2 linked regions of the Astyanax mexicanus genome follow. The protein of the gene in region 1 interacts with the protein of each later gene in a pairwise test. Links are inferred from orthologs where the notes say so. Each region holds a gene or a part of one and is shown in the gene's direction. Other genes may lie near its edges. The genes, in order: lmna and vamp4.

Region 1 (7,685 bases):
CATATTCTCCCTTGCCTGTCTCTTACTGCCCATTACTCATTTACTAAAACAGTCCTTGAAAGGGCACGTGAATTAGTTGCTCACGTGTGACTCACTCTCTCTGTTTGTGCAGTGACTTTCCTGTCCATTGTTCACAGGTGAATTGAAGGCACTTCACACACACACATGAAAGCTGTTGCTAAATTTGTATCTGTAATTTTGTTCCACTAACGTTGAATGGATTATAGTGTGGTGCACAATCTGAAATCTATGGTATATATAATTATTTGTCAAAGGGTTGGTTACATAATTCCAGCGCCTGTCACTGCAAATGAAACATTGTGTGTTTATCAGCCTTTCTCTTGTGTTACCTGTCGTTATTATACACTTCATTTTCTATGGAGCAGGTGGAAGGATGTTTAAACAGAGCTGCTCTGTTGTTCTCAGCTGTTCACGATACAATTCAGCAGGACAGTGTTTGACAAAGTGGCTTTAGATTGTAGGAAAGAGTCTCCACAGGTGCTGGAGAAGCACTTATATTGTTTATCTTATACTGATATAGATTAAATTACACCAACAAAGCTTTAGAGAGGGTTTTTCCACACTACGTCCAGTGATTCTCATATTGTACACTCTGGGCTTGCATGCTACTCCCTGATGTATACCCTTTTTGGACTGCTTGTCCAGTGTTTTCTCTGAAATCAAGGCTATTTATAGGAAGCTGTGCTTCTTTTACTGAAGTAAAAGCCTCTAGTCTTCTGGAAAGACTATACAGTAGATGTAGGAACATTGCTGTGTGGATTTAAGTGCAGCAGCAAGAGCATTAAACAGGTCACACAGTTTGTTTCTAATTTTAGATGATTAGAAACACTACTCCACCTCATCCCAAAGGTATTAGATGAAGTTATTTGTTTCAAAGAATGTAGTTGTACTTTTCCACAGCCCAGTTCCACAGGGTTTTATACTGGTTTGGCTGTCACTTGGCATTAAAGTAGCTGAATTCACTAACTATATGAAATGTCTGAATATAAATGTTATTAATATTTAATATTTAACTTTTCTGTAAACAATCACCTTTTTTTCCAATAATAATAGTCAATAATAGTTCAGTGTACTAAAATGTACTTTAACATGTATTTTGTAATTACATCCTATTATATAATAAAATTAATATAATAATAAATGTCAAATTGCTAGAATAAAAAAAGAGAACCATCAGAAGCAACTGAGGAAGAAGTACAATCAGTCCTCCCAAACCTTAACATCAATGACGGCCCCTTCACACTCGGAGAGCTTGCCAGGGCAAAAACCACCGTAAAAGCAGGAAAGAGTGCTGGTCCGGATGGTATACCCCCAGAGGTGCTGAGGAACTGCGACATGGATGACATCATTTTAGAGTTTTGCAACCTTGCCCTGCTGCACAATCGGCTGCCTGATACGTGGTCTTTATCAAACATCGTGCCAGTGCCTAAGTCTGGAGACCTATCGAAGCCGGACAACTATCGGGGCATCAGCCTGACATGCACTATTGCAAAAGTTTACAACCGTATGATCCTAAACAGGGTCCGGCAGGCAATTGACCCTCTTCTGAGGAAGAACCAGAACGGGTTTCGAGAGAGACGCACCACTACATCCCAGATCCTGGCACTAAGGAGAATGATTGAGGAGGTGAAAAAGAACAACCTGACAGCAGTACTATGCTTTATGGACTTCAAAAAGGCATTTGACTCAATACACCGAGGCATGATGGTGAAGATCCTCAAGGCATACAGTATTCCCCCAAATCTACTCCGAGCAATAGAGTCCATGTATGCAGGAACAAGGGCCAAGGTGGTGACCCCAGACGGCAACAGCGAGGAATTTGACATCCTGGCTGGAGTTATGCAGGGGGACACATTGGCCCCCTTCCTCTTCATCATAGTACTCGATTATGCGCTCAGGAAGGCAATTAATGGGAGGGAACAGGAACTTGGCTTCACACTATCTCCAAGGAAGTCAAGTCGATACCCCGCAGTGGTCCTCACAGACCTTGATTTTGCGGATGACATCAGTTTGCTCTCTGACAACGTGGAGCAAGCACAAATTCTACTGAGCAGAGTAGAACTAGAGTGCGCTAAGGTTGGCCTCAGGTTAAACGCGAAGAAAACTGAGGTCATTACCTACAACATCCCGCCTGAACATCTGCCCCTGATTACAGCAGGAGGCACTGTGCTGAATGAAGTTGATGACTTCAAGTACCTGGGCTCATGGGTCAATTCAACTGAGCAAGACCTAAAATTAAGGAAGGCACTTGCATGGAGGGCTCTGAACGGTATGGCCAGTGTATGGAACTCCAGTCTCCCTCGTCAAATAAAACTGTGCTTCTTCTATGCAACAGTAGAGTCTGTTCTCCTCTATGGCAGCGAATGCTGGACACTTAAGCCAACTCTGGAGAAGTCCCTTGATGGGTGTTACACCAGGATGCTGCGTGCAGTACTTAACATCTGCAATGATGCACATGTAACCAACCAAACCCTGTACGAGGAAATACCAAGAGTGAGCGAGAAAATTGCGGTAAGGCGAATGAGACTTGCAGGACACTGCCATAGGCACCAGGAATTGCCAGCCAGCAAACTGGTGCTATGGGAACCGACACATGGGAGCCGCTCAAGAGGACGTCCCACACTAACCTATGTGGACGTACTCAAGAAGGACGCAGAAGCCCAGAGTACCAGTGAATTGAAAAGATGTATGGGGAATCGGGATGACTGGAAGAAACGATGGAAGGCTCGTCTGAGGACGACCTAGAGAATATACTTTTTTATTGTACTTAAAGCAACATTATGCAATAATTGGTATTTCTTGATCTGGAGCTCTACTCACAGATAGAAATGGTTATTAGCACCTTGAGTCACCCTGTTAAGAATGACATGCTAACATGAAGTTCTTTTAAATGATATAGAGTTGTCACTGATATTAAAATAATAATGTGGTTTATTAAAGTGATAAAGTAAATAATGCGGATTTAACATGAATATGACACAGCATTATGCATAACTCGCCACCTACATCAATGTGTAATTTTTTTTTTTATGAAAACATTTTAATTCTTTACGTTTTAAAAACATAAGTATGTATCAGCTCCACACTTCGGCTGATTAAGATATTGGTACAGAACCCACAATTAGTGCATTCTACTTTTTTATTATAGCAGTTTGACTTATCTATTATTATATTACTTTTATTCCATAATATGACATATTAGTCTTTAAGTTACTTTGAGTTAAGATGTATAATTGTAATAGTTTTGGCAAAATATCCAAAATATGTTTTAAATATATTATGCTTTACTCCTGAGTGTTCATTGGGTAAATGTGGAGGTTAAATTACTGCAGTATTCATTTGATTGTACTGCTGTGGAATAGTGTTTTTTTTTTTTTTACTAATTAGTTTTATTAATAGATAATGAAAGAAACATTCTGGTTGAAGTACTGATGTCAAGAGAAACTTAGCATGTTTCCTTAATAGGTATCTTAACTCCCCGATTTTAGATTTTAGACTCCGCACTCAGCTTAAATGTGAAAAAATTAATTCTTGCAAAACGTGTATTTATTAAACTTGGTTGTATTGAAAATAACACTGCACAATAAGACAAACTGGTGCAAAATAAAAAAAATCTTTAATATTATTACTTTGAAATGATACCTGTGTTTAAAATAATGTATATATTAAAGTAGGAACCATATAAGACTTATTAACTGCAAAATGTGTTCTTTTTTAACTGGTTTCTAAACAGTCACGTGACATAATTTCTTGCCTCTTCCCGTAGCTCTCCTATTGGTTGTTGACATTGTTCACGTCACTATTTGCGCGAGCCGAGTCTCAAGACTTGCGGTAATATTAAACACGGTTAAAAAATAAATATAAAATATAAAATACGGTTGACTTTATCGGAGCGCTGGGACGCGAACTCGACTGACTATAACTTTTAGTTGTAACCACCTTTTACACTGAACGGTCGAGATGACTCGACCACGACTCGACTGCAGCTCGACTCTAGCCAGACTCTCGTGATTTTATTCCGACTCTGGAAATTTGTCTGCGACTGAAAAATCGTTTGAAAATCGTTAGGTGTAAGGCATAATAGGGGTGGGCAATATTATATCGTATACAATATATCGTGACACAGAAATATCATGATATTAAAAATCCATATCGTGATAATAGAGATCTTCTGTCTTAAAAGTAGTCTATTATTTACTGTGAAGCTTTAGGTGTATTTATTGTATAATTGTTTTAGTTTGCAGTTTATATGCATGCACTAAATATTCTGCAATATGATTTGCTGCATTATATTATTTTATGCTATATTATTTATTTTGCCACATTATGATTATACTGTTATACTATTATACTATATTCCTATTATATTATATATTATTATATATTCCTCATATTTTAGTTTTCCTATATCGTTATCGCAAAAATATCATTTTAGAGCCATATCGCCCACCCCTAAGGCATACATATACATATTTGTCATTTAATCTTAATATTAAGCTCAGCTCTGTTCAGCTGCAGTTGTTGTAATGATCCGCTGCGGGGCGCTGCCGGCTCTGTCAGTCAGTCAGACGGAGGGGCTGTGGAGAGAGAGGCATGAGGCAGGCAGCAGATTCCTCGCTGTCAGAGTTTTCAGCGTTTAGAGACACAGAACCCGTGAGTCACTGCTTTCTCTCATTCCTACTCTCTAATGAAGGGTTAACTCCTTTGTGTTTCAGGCTGTGTTCCTCCAGAAACGCTGCAGTTCTTTGGTGTAAATGTTTGTGTAGTCAGTCCGTGACTCAGCCGTTTGCTATTGCAACAAAACTGTGAGCTCGCCCTTCCCGAGAAATAGCATATATACAGCATATATACAGACCACCTTCTTTTCTATTTATAGGTATATGATTGAGCAACATAAACATTGTTGTTTGCTTCTATAAACTACGGACAACATTTCTCCCAAATTCCAAATAAAAATATTGTCATTTAGAGCATTTGCATTGCATTGCAGAACATGAGAAATAGCCGAAATAACAAAAAAGATGCAGAGATTTCAGACCTCAAACAATGCAAAGAAGACATTTCATATTTATAAAGTTTTAAGAGTTCAGAAATCAATATTTGGTGAAAAATATTCTGTTTTTTAATCTCAGATTTCATGCATCTTGGCATGTTCTCCTCCACCAGTCTTACACACTGCTTTTATATATAACTTTATATATAAACCATATAACCAGACTCGCATTGTCCATCCTTCTCTCCTCACTCATTCTCTAATCATTTGTACAAATCTGTGTGTAAATCTGAGTCTCTGTGCTGCTCTGTGTTTACCTGTGTTTACCTGTGTTGTGTAGGTTAGGGCTAATTTATGAAACTGTTAAGAAGTAGGGCTGGGCAATATGATAAAAAAAAATCTCATATCTCGATATGCTTTTAGATAGTAAATGTCAATGGCAATGTACGATATGGTATAATTTATCTGATAAATCTGCTAAAACGTGTAATGTAAAAAAAAAAATCAGCCTTCATTTTTAATAATAAATCTTGCTATATATTCAGTTAGTAAACATCTGTCTGTGTAAGTTAAAAAGTAACATTTTTAAAATAATAAACACAAGACTCAGTACTTACCATAGGACTTATTCTTATTCTTATAACTGCACTGAATTATGTTGTTTTATTGAGATAATGCAAAAAAAAGTTGTAATCCAGCACTAGTGGTGTGCCATATTGTACCATATGCAATAATCTTGCCAAAGTGCATCCAGAAATAGTGTAATCTTATTTTATGGTCGTATAAGTCATCAGGGTACAACTTTTTTTTGCTGTTTGTAGCTAATTTAAAATTCACACTACTCATGTCCCATTATATATCTACTAGAGACAGATTATATCTGTCCAGTATAATTTATTTTACTTTATTTAACTATAATGGATATAAGGAGTGCATTTTTAGAAAATGCTTTAGACAAATAGAGCTTATATGATGCAAAATCATATGATAAAAACCATAATTACAATATTGTTTATAACACCAAAACAATGTGTATATAAAAAAATGTATGTTTTTTTAAATAACAAGAAGACAGATCCAATGTTTGTTGTATTTCTACTGAAATCCAGTGTTTTACTGCACTGAATTATGTTGTTTTAGATGGGGATGATAAAGCCTCCAGGCTGCTCCTGTAATTGCAATGATTCTACATCATAATTTGCAAAAGACTGTACTTACAGAAATGTGATGTACTATAATGCTGCTGGATAACCTGATATTAATGTCGAAACATGACAAATTAAGATCCTAAATTTGTTGAAGCTCCTCAAAGTTTTTTCTGAGGATCACCTGTTTGAATCCTTTATCACGCTGCTTGAAATTAGCAGTCCATGAGACAACAATTTGTCTTGCTCTCTCATGGACGGGTTGAATGACCTTGTGGATGAAGTGATAAAATTACAATTTAAACTTGTACTGCAATAATCATAAAAAATATCATTAATCTTACAGCCCTATACTGTACTATACTGTACTGTATTATTATGATGATGATGCCTGTTAGGTCTTGTAGCATTGGATATTTTTAGTTTTAAATCTGAGCTCTTATGTTAGTTATGTTATAAATGTAAAATCTAGGCAGTTGCATGTGTTATATTTAGGAAAGTTTTGCTGCTTACTAGCTCACATCCAGAATACACTATGCAGGCAGTGGTTTGGGAAGGATTTCCTCAGGGGAATCGTCCTCATTGTAGAGAGGAATGTAGTGGGTGCTGGGAGGCTGGAGGAAAAGCCGTCCTGTGACTGCTGGAGAACAGAGACGTTTGTGTGTGTGTTTGTGCTGCTGGTAGGCATGGTTCTCAGAGGGCTTGTGTTCTGATGATACTTTTCCAATGAGTCAGCCCTGCCGGGAAGACACTCCCTAACATTAGAGGGCCGACTGTAGCCCACTGCCAGACTAGGACTGCCCACTGCCGGCCTAGGCCTGTCATCATCATTATCATCATCTTCATCATCATCATCATCATCATCATTATTATTTTTATCTTTTTCTTTTTTTTTTTTGCCTGCAGATTTTTTTGATTATTCATGAAGATATCAGATTGAATTGACCTAAAATAGCATGTAAAAGCATGTATGGCCTTTTAAAGCTTTCATTATACATTTTTGGGAAAGGATGTACAAGTAAGCTCAGTAAAAACTCGGGCATGGAGGCATACACTTTCCATATGTCATACTGTGGCATATTTGTCAGCATATGTTGCAGCTGGGCCTGTAGATCCTGCACATTTTTATTGAAGCAAACATCACAGCTGGTCTTATGAATTCCAAAATCTGATGGCCAGGCAGGCAAAGGAAGTGTTACAATCTTTTAAAGGTATTCCTGGGAAACGCTGGTTGTATGTGGTCAAACATTATCTTCTTGAAAATCCCAATTGAAGGCCCTGCCATCAGTAGCATAAGTGGCTGCAAGAAGTCCATTATCTAGCAGCCAATTATCTCTCGCCAAGAGGTACACTGCCCAAAAATACCCTCTTGGAACCTTTTTATAGGGCAGTTGAGGGGGCATTTTCACATACTCTTTTAACAAAACTCATTGTTGTTGGGTAATTTACCACAGCATGACTTGGATAAAACTTGGATGTAAGAAATCTCAGAGCATTATAAGATGACCATTGAGTCACATCTTTAG
Region 2 (8,062 bases), on another chromosome or scaffold:
AAATTCCTAACCTCAGACCTTCACCATCCTTCAGCTCAAAGTGCTCAAAGCCTTGGGAGGTCTGCTTATACCATCAGAAAGGAAGGACAATTCAACACCATTCAACTTATGCAATACATTCCATATTTTTTATTTTATTAAGTTTCTAAAATTTTGATAAACAATATTTAGAAATTACAGAGATTTTTACAGTGATTAATTAGTGAGTAATTAGACCATTAACAGGTGAACAGGAGACTATGATTTCTGAATGTATAGAGAGGCAGTGGAATCTTTAAGACCAAATAGAAAAATATAAACTGTACCAGTCAAAAGTTTCAACACCCCTTCTCATTCAATGTTTTATTATTTCCCTGCATTGTAAACAAATACTGAAGTCATCCAAAGTATGAAGGAACACATAAGGAATCATCCAGTAAACGTAAACGAGTTCAAATAGTAAATGAATAATGACCCAAAACATATTGCAAAAGCAGCTGCAACAGATCTAAAGCAAAGAAACACAATGGCTGATCCAGTCACTTGACTGAGCATGCTGGTCAAGACACACAAACAAGCAAATGCTAAAAGAGACTGTAGTGAACGCTGAACAAAACATCTCAAGAAAAGATTCTCAGCATTTGCTGATATCATGGGATCCTGACTTTGTGTAGGATTACTGCACATTTTCTGCATCCATGTATAAAAAATCCTGCATATAACATTATTTTAAGCAATAAATAGTTAAGCATAAATATTTAATTCTAACATTGTAAAGTATGTTCGAGTTTGAGTATGTTTAATTCATTTTTGAATCTTAATTAATGCTAAAATTCTAACTTTCAATCACACCATGACAGCTTAACAGTTAAATTTGTAAACCCATAAAGGTGGTTTTCAGAGTCAACAGTGCAAAAGAAACATGTAGCTGTCCAACTATTATTGGATCAGAGTGTGTATCTGTTCGTCCAATGCACCAATGCTTTGAAGAGGCTTTATTATATATGTTGTAAATGACTGGGTTCTAAATGAATTACTGTTCTCTCAAAACGTATTACAAATACACCTGAAATCTGTGAGAAATTAAGGTCTTGTACAATTATTAAGTAAGCAATAGAGTAATAGATTAAGAAGGAGTAACCTGAGGAAATATTCAAGACTCTACACGTTCTACACGTGTTATTTTTACTCATACCTAAAAACTCATTGTCATGACATGATTTGCCAAATACTTCTCTGAAGGGGTTCAGAATCTTCAGAATACCTCATCAGTCAATACGAGGCACAACATAGCTGTGCAATTCATTCTAATGCATAGTTAGAGTCAATGTAGAGAATTTTAGAGGAAGACAGAAAGGTCTTTCCATTATTTGCATCTCTCTCAGTGTAGTCTCCCAGGATTGAGCAGGTGACACAACTGACAAGACTGGAACTCACTTCATCCTGTATACGCTGAAGGTCACCGTAATTTATACTCTTCTAGCTTTGTCCATCCATCTTCCCTTCTCAACAAGACTTTGAAGTTAACAACCAAAATGGACCAAGGCAGCTATGCAAAGAACATATTTTTGACAGCTTTAGCACTGCTGTACACATGCATATGGGAACATCTACACACCTGTATATGTGTGTATATGCAGTATCCTTACATACAGCATAAACATTTACTACAAACCACAACAGAGGATAAAAACTATTAAAAAATGATTACTAATCTTCATGTGATAAAACTGAACTTTTCCAGAGCTTCGTCAAGTGCTTTCTCGAGGACACACAATCTCATCTTTTCACTCAGCCAAGCACTTCCCACTCCCAGGAGGAGCTTTCTGCTTTAGCAATCATCCTCATCAGTGTGTGGAAAATATTCCAGACTCGCTCGCTAAACTATTTCTCCGAAGAGCCGCTGCATTATGTTTCTCTTGTTTATTTGTTTCTGATTTCACGTGGTTTCATGTGTGTAAATCTTTTTAAAGGCTTTTTTTCTGTTTGCTTTGAGAATTTTTATCTCTGCGATGCTCTTCTATGGTCCCAGCCAAGTTCTGCTCGTATATCACAAATATGTAGTTCAAGGTAACAAGGTGAAGAACTTTTGCCCCCGTGACATCCACTGAGAAAATGAAGCAATTGATTTACCAGATTTAATTTTACAAAATGTTGCAACTTATTAATTGGAATCTTAACAGTGGTATTTGTTACTATTCAACATAGATAATAGATAATAAAAATGTTTGTGGAAATAAATTTATTTATTTATTTTTTGTTTCTAAATGTTCCAATTTTTCTATCAAATTTGGAATGCCAATTACCTTATCCCTGGTAATATGAACTCTACCTATCACCAGTAATGCCCTCAACACTAAGAGAGGCACATGCCTCCTCTGATTCATGAAGTTACTCACCGCCTCGTTTCAAAATGGTGCTGATACAGCATCACTAGATAGCCAGATAAGACCAGCGTTCTTATCTGTTCCCGAGTTCTGATACATCAGCTAACACACACCTGTGCTGACCAACATTACACTATGAGATCTGAGGAGGAAACACCATAAACCCTGGAAGAGTAAGACACTTTGTGTCCTAATGTCATAAGATATGATCTGAGATTTGAACAGACAATCCTCTAATCATAGTGACAGCGCCCTAGTCCAGCACCTCGGAATTGCTTTTTAATAGTATTCATGAAATGATTTAATAAGATTTTTTTTTTCACTAAGAACAGATATGATACACATATAATGGTACAAACAACAATTTGTCTTTTTTTTCTTTGTATTTAAAGTATTTCATCCTTATGAGCTTGTTTGACATCCATTTCAATAATTATGGGCGATCGATATGAAGGTAGAAAATTGGAAACAAACAAAAACAAATGTGTGAAACATTACCTTTCACTGCAATTAAGAGGGAAAACAGCAGCCCCAAGACCATTAATAGTATCCCTGGTACACTAAACTCTGGTTGGCTCTAGGCAGTCTGGTAAGTATTGTTCTCCTGGCATCTGCCAAACTCCTAAGTTCTCCTGGCATCCCAGAATCCCTGATACTGACTCCTGATTCATTTGTGAAATTGTGAAAGTGAGTGCAGGGTTCAGTGAGCGAGAGACATTCTTTTCACACATGGATCGGGCTGCTTGAACTCCATTGAAATAACTTTTGTAACGATTCAGAAGCTTTTGGAAACGATGCCACAGTGAATGCATGCCATAGTCAAAGCTAAAAGTGGTATTTATAGTGTGTGACCTTTATTTGACCAGGTAGTGTATAAAGCAACTGTCAAATATACTGCCCATATACAGTTTTTTAATTGTGATTTTTATAACAGTGTCTGGAACCCATGAAAACATTAAGGTGTCCGTACAAAAATATGAAGGAATTGCATCATGTAACCATAAGCTGTTTCTAAATTGTATTTGTTATATAGTACACTAATTTGGGATTCTGCCATTTTGTACTGGTGTTTGAAAACAAAGTTTTTAACTGTACCAATCTTACAATGCACTGTGATATATAGTGTACAGAACCAGACATGGAATACCCGTAATTATGAATTAATAATAAATAATCAAATCTTGGGTTAAAGAGTGCATTGCAGACTTTCCAAGAAACACTAGATTGTTCAGATTGTTGCATAACACTGCCCTTATCACACACATAATAACAATATTTTATACACCACTACAAAATAGTGTAACCCAAAAGTAGTGCCCTACAAATATGTAGGCCGCACATTGGGACGATTGAAAATTGGAAATTGACATGTTTAGCCCTTTAAAGCAGCTGATTATACAGTACTAATTAGTAGAATGCTAACCTGTAATGGTTAAATACAGTTATGTAAACTGTCTATTTTACAAACAATTAAGTCTGTGTGTTCTAGTTAGAGCACAAGTACCAAACCATCCCTTGTAATTAACGGTGTCACCGGTATTCACATGCATTACTCTGGTAGAAGTATAGATACTAGGGTTTAAAAATAATTCTGTAGAAGTTAAAGTATCAACTCAAGCTTTTTACTCTTGTAAAAGTTTAAAAGTACTGGTTTCAAAACTATTTAAAAATAATTTACGGGGGAAAATGCCATTAAGGACAAAAGCTGAGGATGTGCCACAGGAGCCTATAGTATAGTACCCCCAAATTTTTTAAAGCCATAATGGCTGTAATGTTACATTAAAATGTTAACGTTGAAACTTTGGGGATGCACTAGGCTGCCTGTTTCAGCCACATAAAGGCCCATTTCAATGAATGAATTTGGTACAATATAAATATATTAAAGAATCATACTAGGCTACACAAGTCTGCTAGATTCTTGCTGGAGTCTGGGCGTGATGTGTGCAGGTGAGGTGGATTGTGAATAGACCAATAGGATGTCGAAATGGTATGTGTTTATACTTCTTAACCAACCACAATCATAATCACTCATAATCACATTTATCTGGAGATTTATCTGGTTCGTTTTTTACAGAATGAAAACAAACTAAAACAAGGTTTTTTTAAAAATGTAAAAAAGTAGAAATTACAGATAATTGTTAAAAAAGTAAGGATTAGAAGTGAAAAGTTGTACTTCATTACTTGACACCTCTGCTTGTAATTTGAGTATACATATTTATGTGTGCTAATATCTAACCCTTATTTCCAGTATGAAAGAGGAAATTGTTTTTTTTTTCAATCAATGAAAACAAAACATAATACACATCAAATAAAATTTCATATAAAAATGATAAACATATTCTCTTGAGTGTACACAATGCATACATATTGTTGGGGGGTATACATAAATATAATGATTTAACAGTTGTAATAGTTGTACTGTTTTACAGAGGGCTGTTACAGAGGGGAGTTTAATATAATATTTTAACTCTTTTTAAAAGACCACAAAAATCCTGATGTATAACTACAGCATTGTGAACCAAATCACAGCCCAGCTGTTTGACTTCCTGGTCATCAGAGGTGGAGCGGAAGAGAAGAGAACATCACTGCAATATACACATACACATCCTCACAGCCCTGCTGCCGAGAGGCTCTTCTCTTCTCTTCCACTGACACACACACAGACCACTTCCAGGATCCTTAGATCCTCAGTGGTGTGAGTCGTGGCTGCAGTACAGAAGAGCACTGCACCCCACAGGACCAGCACAGCCCAGGTAGAAGAGGATCTGTGTCTGTTGAGGTGTGTGGAGGCCTGTGTGTCTCTGTGTAGAAGACAGCAGTGCCTGTGTCACTGTCTCATCACTGCATGATGTTCTCCTGATATTTTAGTGTAGCTAAGCTAGCTAGCTACTTGTCTCGGTTACGCTATTAACTAACAACCCGCTAGCTAAATAACTGTCTATCTAACGTAACTTATCCAGTTTAGCTAACTGGTTTAGCTAGTCTAAACCAGACAGTCTGACCGGCTCAGCTAGCCACACAGCTAACCAGCTAGCAGAATCATTTAGCTAGCGTTAGCTAGGCTAAGCTAAACTAAGCTAGTTAGCTAGGAGGCTTCGGAAGCTAATATTAACAACAGTAGCAGCTTCGTGCTGCTAGATAATATTTATTTCTGATAATTTAGATGGAAATGTCCTGTGTAAATATGACGTGGTGCTGTCATGTCTTAGTTTTTTTTTTTTACATTTGTCTTGTAAAAGTCGGCGTTTCTGCTTAGGTTTAGCTCATTAGCTAGATTAGCTAACGTTAGTTAACTGGCACCTAACAGTTACATTGTGTGATAATAGCTTAGCTATCGTAGCTCAGTGTTTCTCAACCCTGGTTCATAAGGCCTAGTCTAGTAAGTTCCTTTCTTTAATCCACATTCTTTAACTCAATAATGAAATGTTAAGAAGCTAATGATCTGTATCAGGTGTTTTGGTAGCAGGGAAAACAGTAACTGTTAGCTAAACAGTGCAGGACAGTGAACCTCCAGGACCAGGCTCGAGAAGAAATACTGAGAGAGCTTAACTACCTAACCCTAGCTAACCTAATGTTAATGTAACGTTAACTGAAATCTCTGTGTTTTATTCTCTGACAGATGTATTTATGCAGAAAGCTGCGTTTAAAACAGGTTATTTAGCTGACCGGTTGAATCATCATCATCATCTTAGTTGTCGTTTCCCTATTCAGTCATATGACTCAGTGGCTGATTAGATTAGCAGTTCTAGAAATGTAAAGGGGGTCATGGCACACATTCTCAGCTCTCAGCTCCATTCTCTCTTGTGGGGATGCTTCTGGTTCTGACTAGTTCATGCAGATGTGTTTATCAGGCAGATATTTACTTGCTTCACTTGCTTGATGCTATCCCCTGTCTGATAAAAACAGACAAACAAAAATAAACCCTCTTTGGAGTTTAGTACTGATTTGGTTTTGTGATTGATGAGATGACTGTGGCCCAAAAAGGGGTGGGCAATAAGGCCCTAAAATAATATCACAATATTTCATGGTATTTTTGCGATAATACTTTTGTTGATATGACAAGATTGACAAAAAATATTTCAAGGATTAAAGTAAAATAAATGATACTGGACAGATATAATCTGTCGGGAGATATAATAGTAAATGAGAAGAGTGTGAATTTTTCTTTTGCTAAAAACAGCAAAGAAAGTAGTCCCCTGATGTGATAAATAGGGGTGGGTGATGGCTCGATATTTCAGGGTATAGTATCGTTCACAATATTTAAAAATGTTGGCGATATTATTGCATACGATATGATGTGGCACACAACTACTGCCCAAGCCAAGTCTTTGTGTTACTGGTTATGTGGATATGTCTAAAGGAGTAACAATTTATAGGCATATAGAATTCACTGCTATTCTATATTATGTATCATAAAAATATTCACCTTACATTGTACCTAAGCAGTCTAGTACTGTATTGTGTGCCATTTTCGTAAAGAAAAGAGACAAAAAAGAATGTTATGATTTATATTACAAGTTAAATGTTATAATTGATGTTTCATGTCATTTATAATTGCACATTTACAGCCTAAACCGTTTACAGATGATGCAACTATGGCCTGGATATATGTACACTATATGTCCAAATGTTTGTGGACACACACACACACACACACACACACACACACACACACACACACACACACACACACACACACACACACACACACACAAGTTGTCTCTGTCATGCAAAATGTATTGCCAATAAAATAAAAATCTCTACAGCAGACAAACATGAATGGCATAATGGCACCATATCTAATACCATGAGTGGGCTAGAAGGAAACATAGCCTCCAGAATAAAGCAGTGGTTCTTTTTTTTGTTTTTTGAAAAACCCTGAGGGAGGCACAAAATTAATGAACAGGTGTCCCATTACTTTTGTCCATATAGTGTCAATTGATGAACCCCTACTGGTGTCACCATTTCAGTGTTATTTGCAAATGCAGTGCTTTCAGTGTTGGGTGAACTGATTACTGTGTGCAGTGCGGGGGTCAGCAGAGTTTATCTGATTGCCCTTTAGAAGGTTCTGCATCGTCTGTTTGTCTGTCCCACTTACATTTTATGTCCAATCCACATGACCAATTCATGTTTTGTACATCAGTTTACTATTTTATGCCAATAATGTTTTTTTCTCCGTTCATTCTATTGGAAAATTATAATGGCACCCTTGTTTGACAGATCTGGCAACTGAAATGAATTTTACATACGTTTATGGTCATTGTGGATTCTTGCCTGCTGCTTTCTTTTTATCTGTCTCTCTCATATTTCCCGTTATCTTTATCCCAACCGTCTTTCCCCCTTTTTCTGTTTCCTTTTTCCTCTCTCTCTTTTTTTTTTTTTGCTAGAGCTGCTTATCCCTAACCCCTCTTCTCCTCCTCTGCTGATTTGTGGATCGTTCCGCCGTGCTTGTGGCCAGGAGAAAACCTGTTTTCCGACTACTTTTCCAGCACATCAAGCAGAAAGCAGTCTCAGAGAGAGGACAGTGACTCAATGGTATCAGACCCCTATCCTAAATTTGGATTGTGTCTGTGGTTGTGTGGGAAAGAGAGAGAGAGAGTGAGAAAAGTGAAAGAACTTCTCTATGGCTTAAACTGCATAAAAAATGTGAAGAATTAAAAATTAACTAAATAAATATACCTCCCAACCAGTAAATA

The links.
Region 2: the proteins of lmna (region 1) and vamp4 interact in a two-hybrid assay, tested with the Homo sapiens proteins (2 studies listed by BioGRID and IntAct, with this or other methods). The link is inferred for Astyanax mexicanus from reciprocal best matches to the Homo sapiens genes LMNA and VAMP4.

The regions. Positions count from the first base shown.
Region 1 is NC_064413.1:40,511,502-40,519,186, reverse strand, and holds the start of lmna (lamin), read left to right. Parts: upstream 1-4,565; 5' UTR 4,566-4,674; intron 4,675-7,685.
Region 2 is NC_064408.1:62,580,825-62,588,886, forward strand, and holds the start of vamp4 (vesicle-associated membrane protein 4), read left to right. Parts: upstream 1-4,924; 5' UTR 4,925-5,119; exon of another isoform or gene 5,120-5,145; intron 5,146-7,753; exon of another isoform or gene 7,754-7,824; 5' UTR 7,825-7,898; coding exon 7,899-7,901; intron 7,902-8,062. UniProt on the Homo sapiens protein: Involved in the pathway that functions to remove an inhibitor (probably synaptotagmin-4) of calcium-triggered exocytosis during the maturation of secretory granules.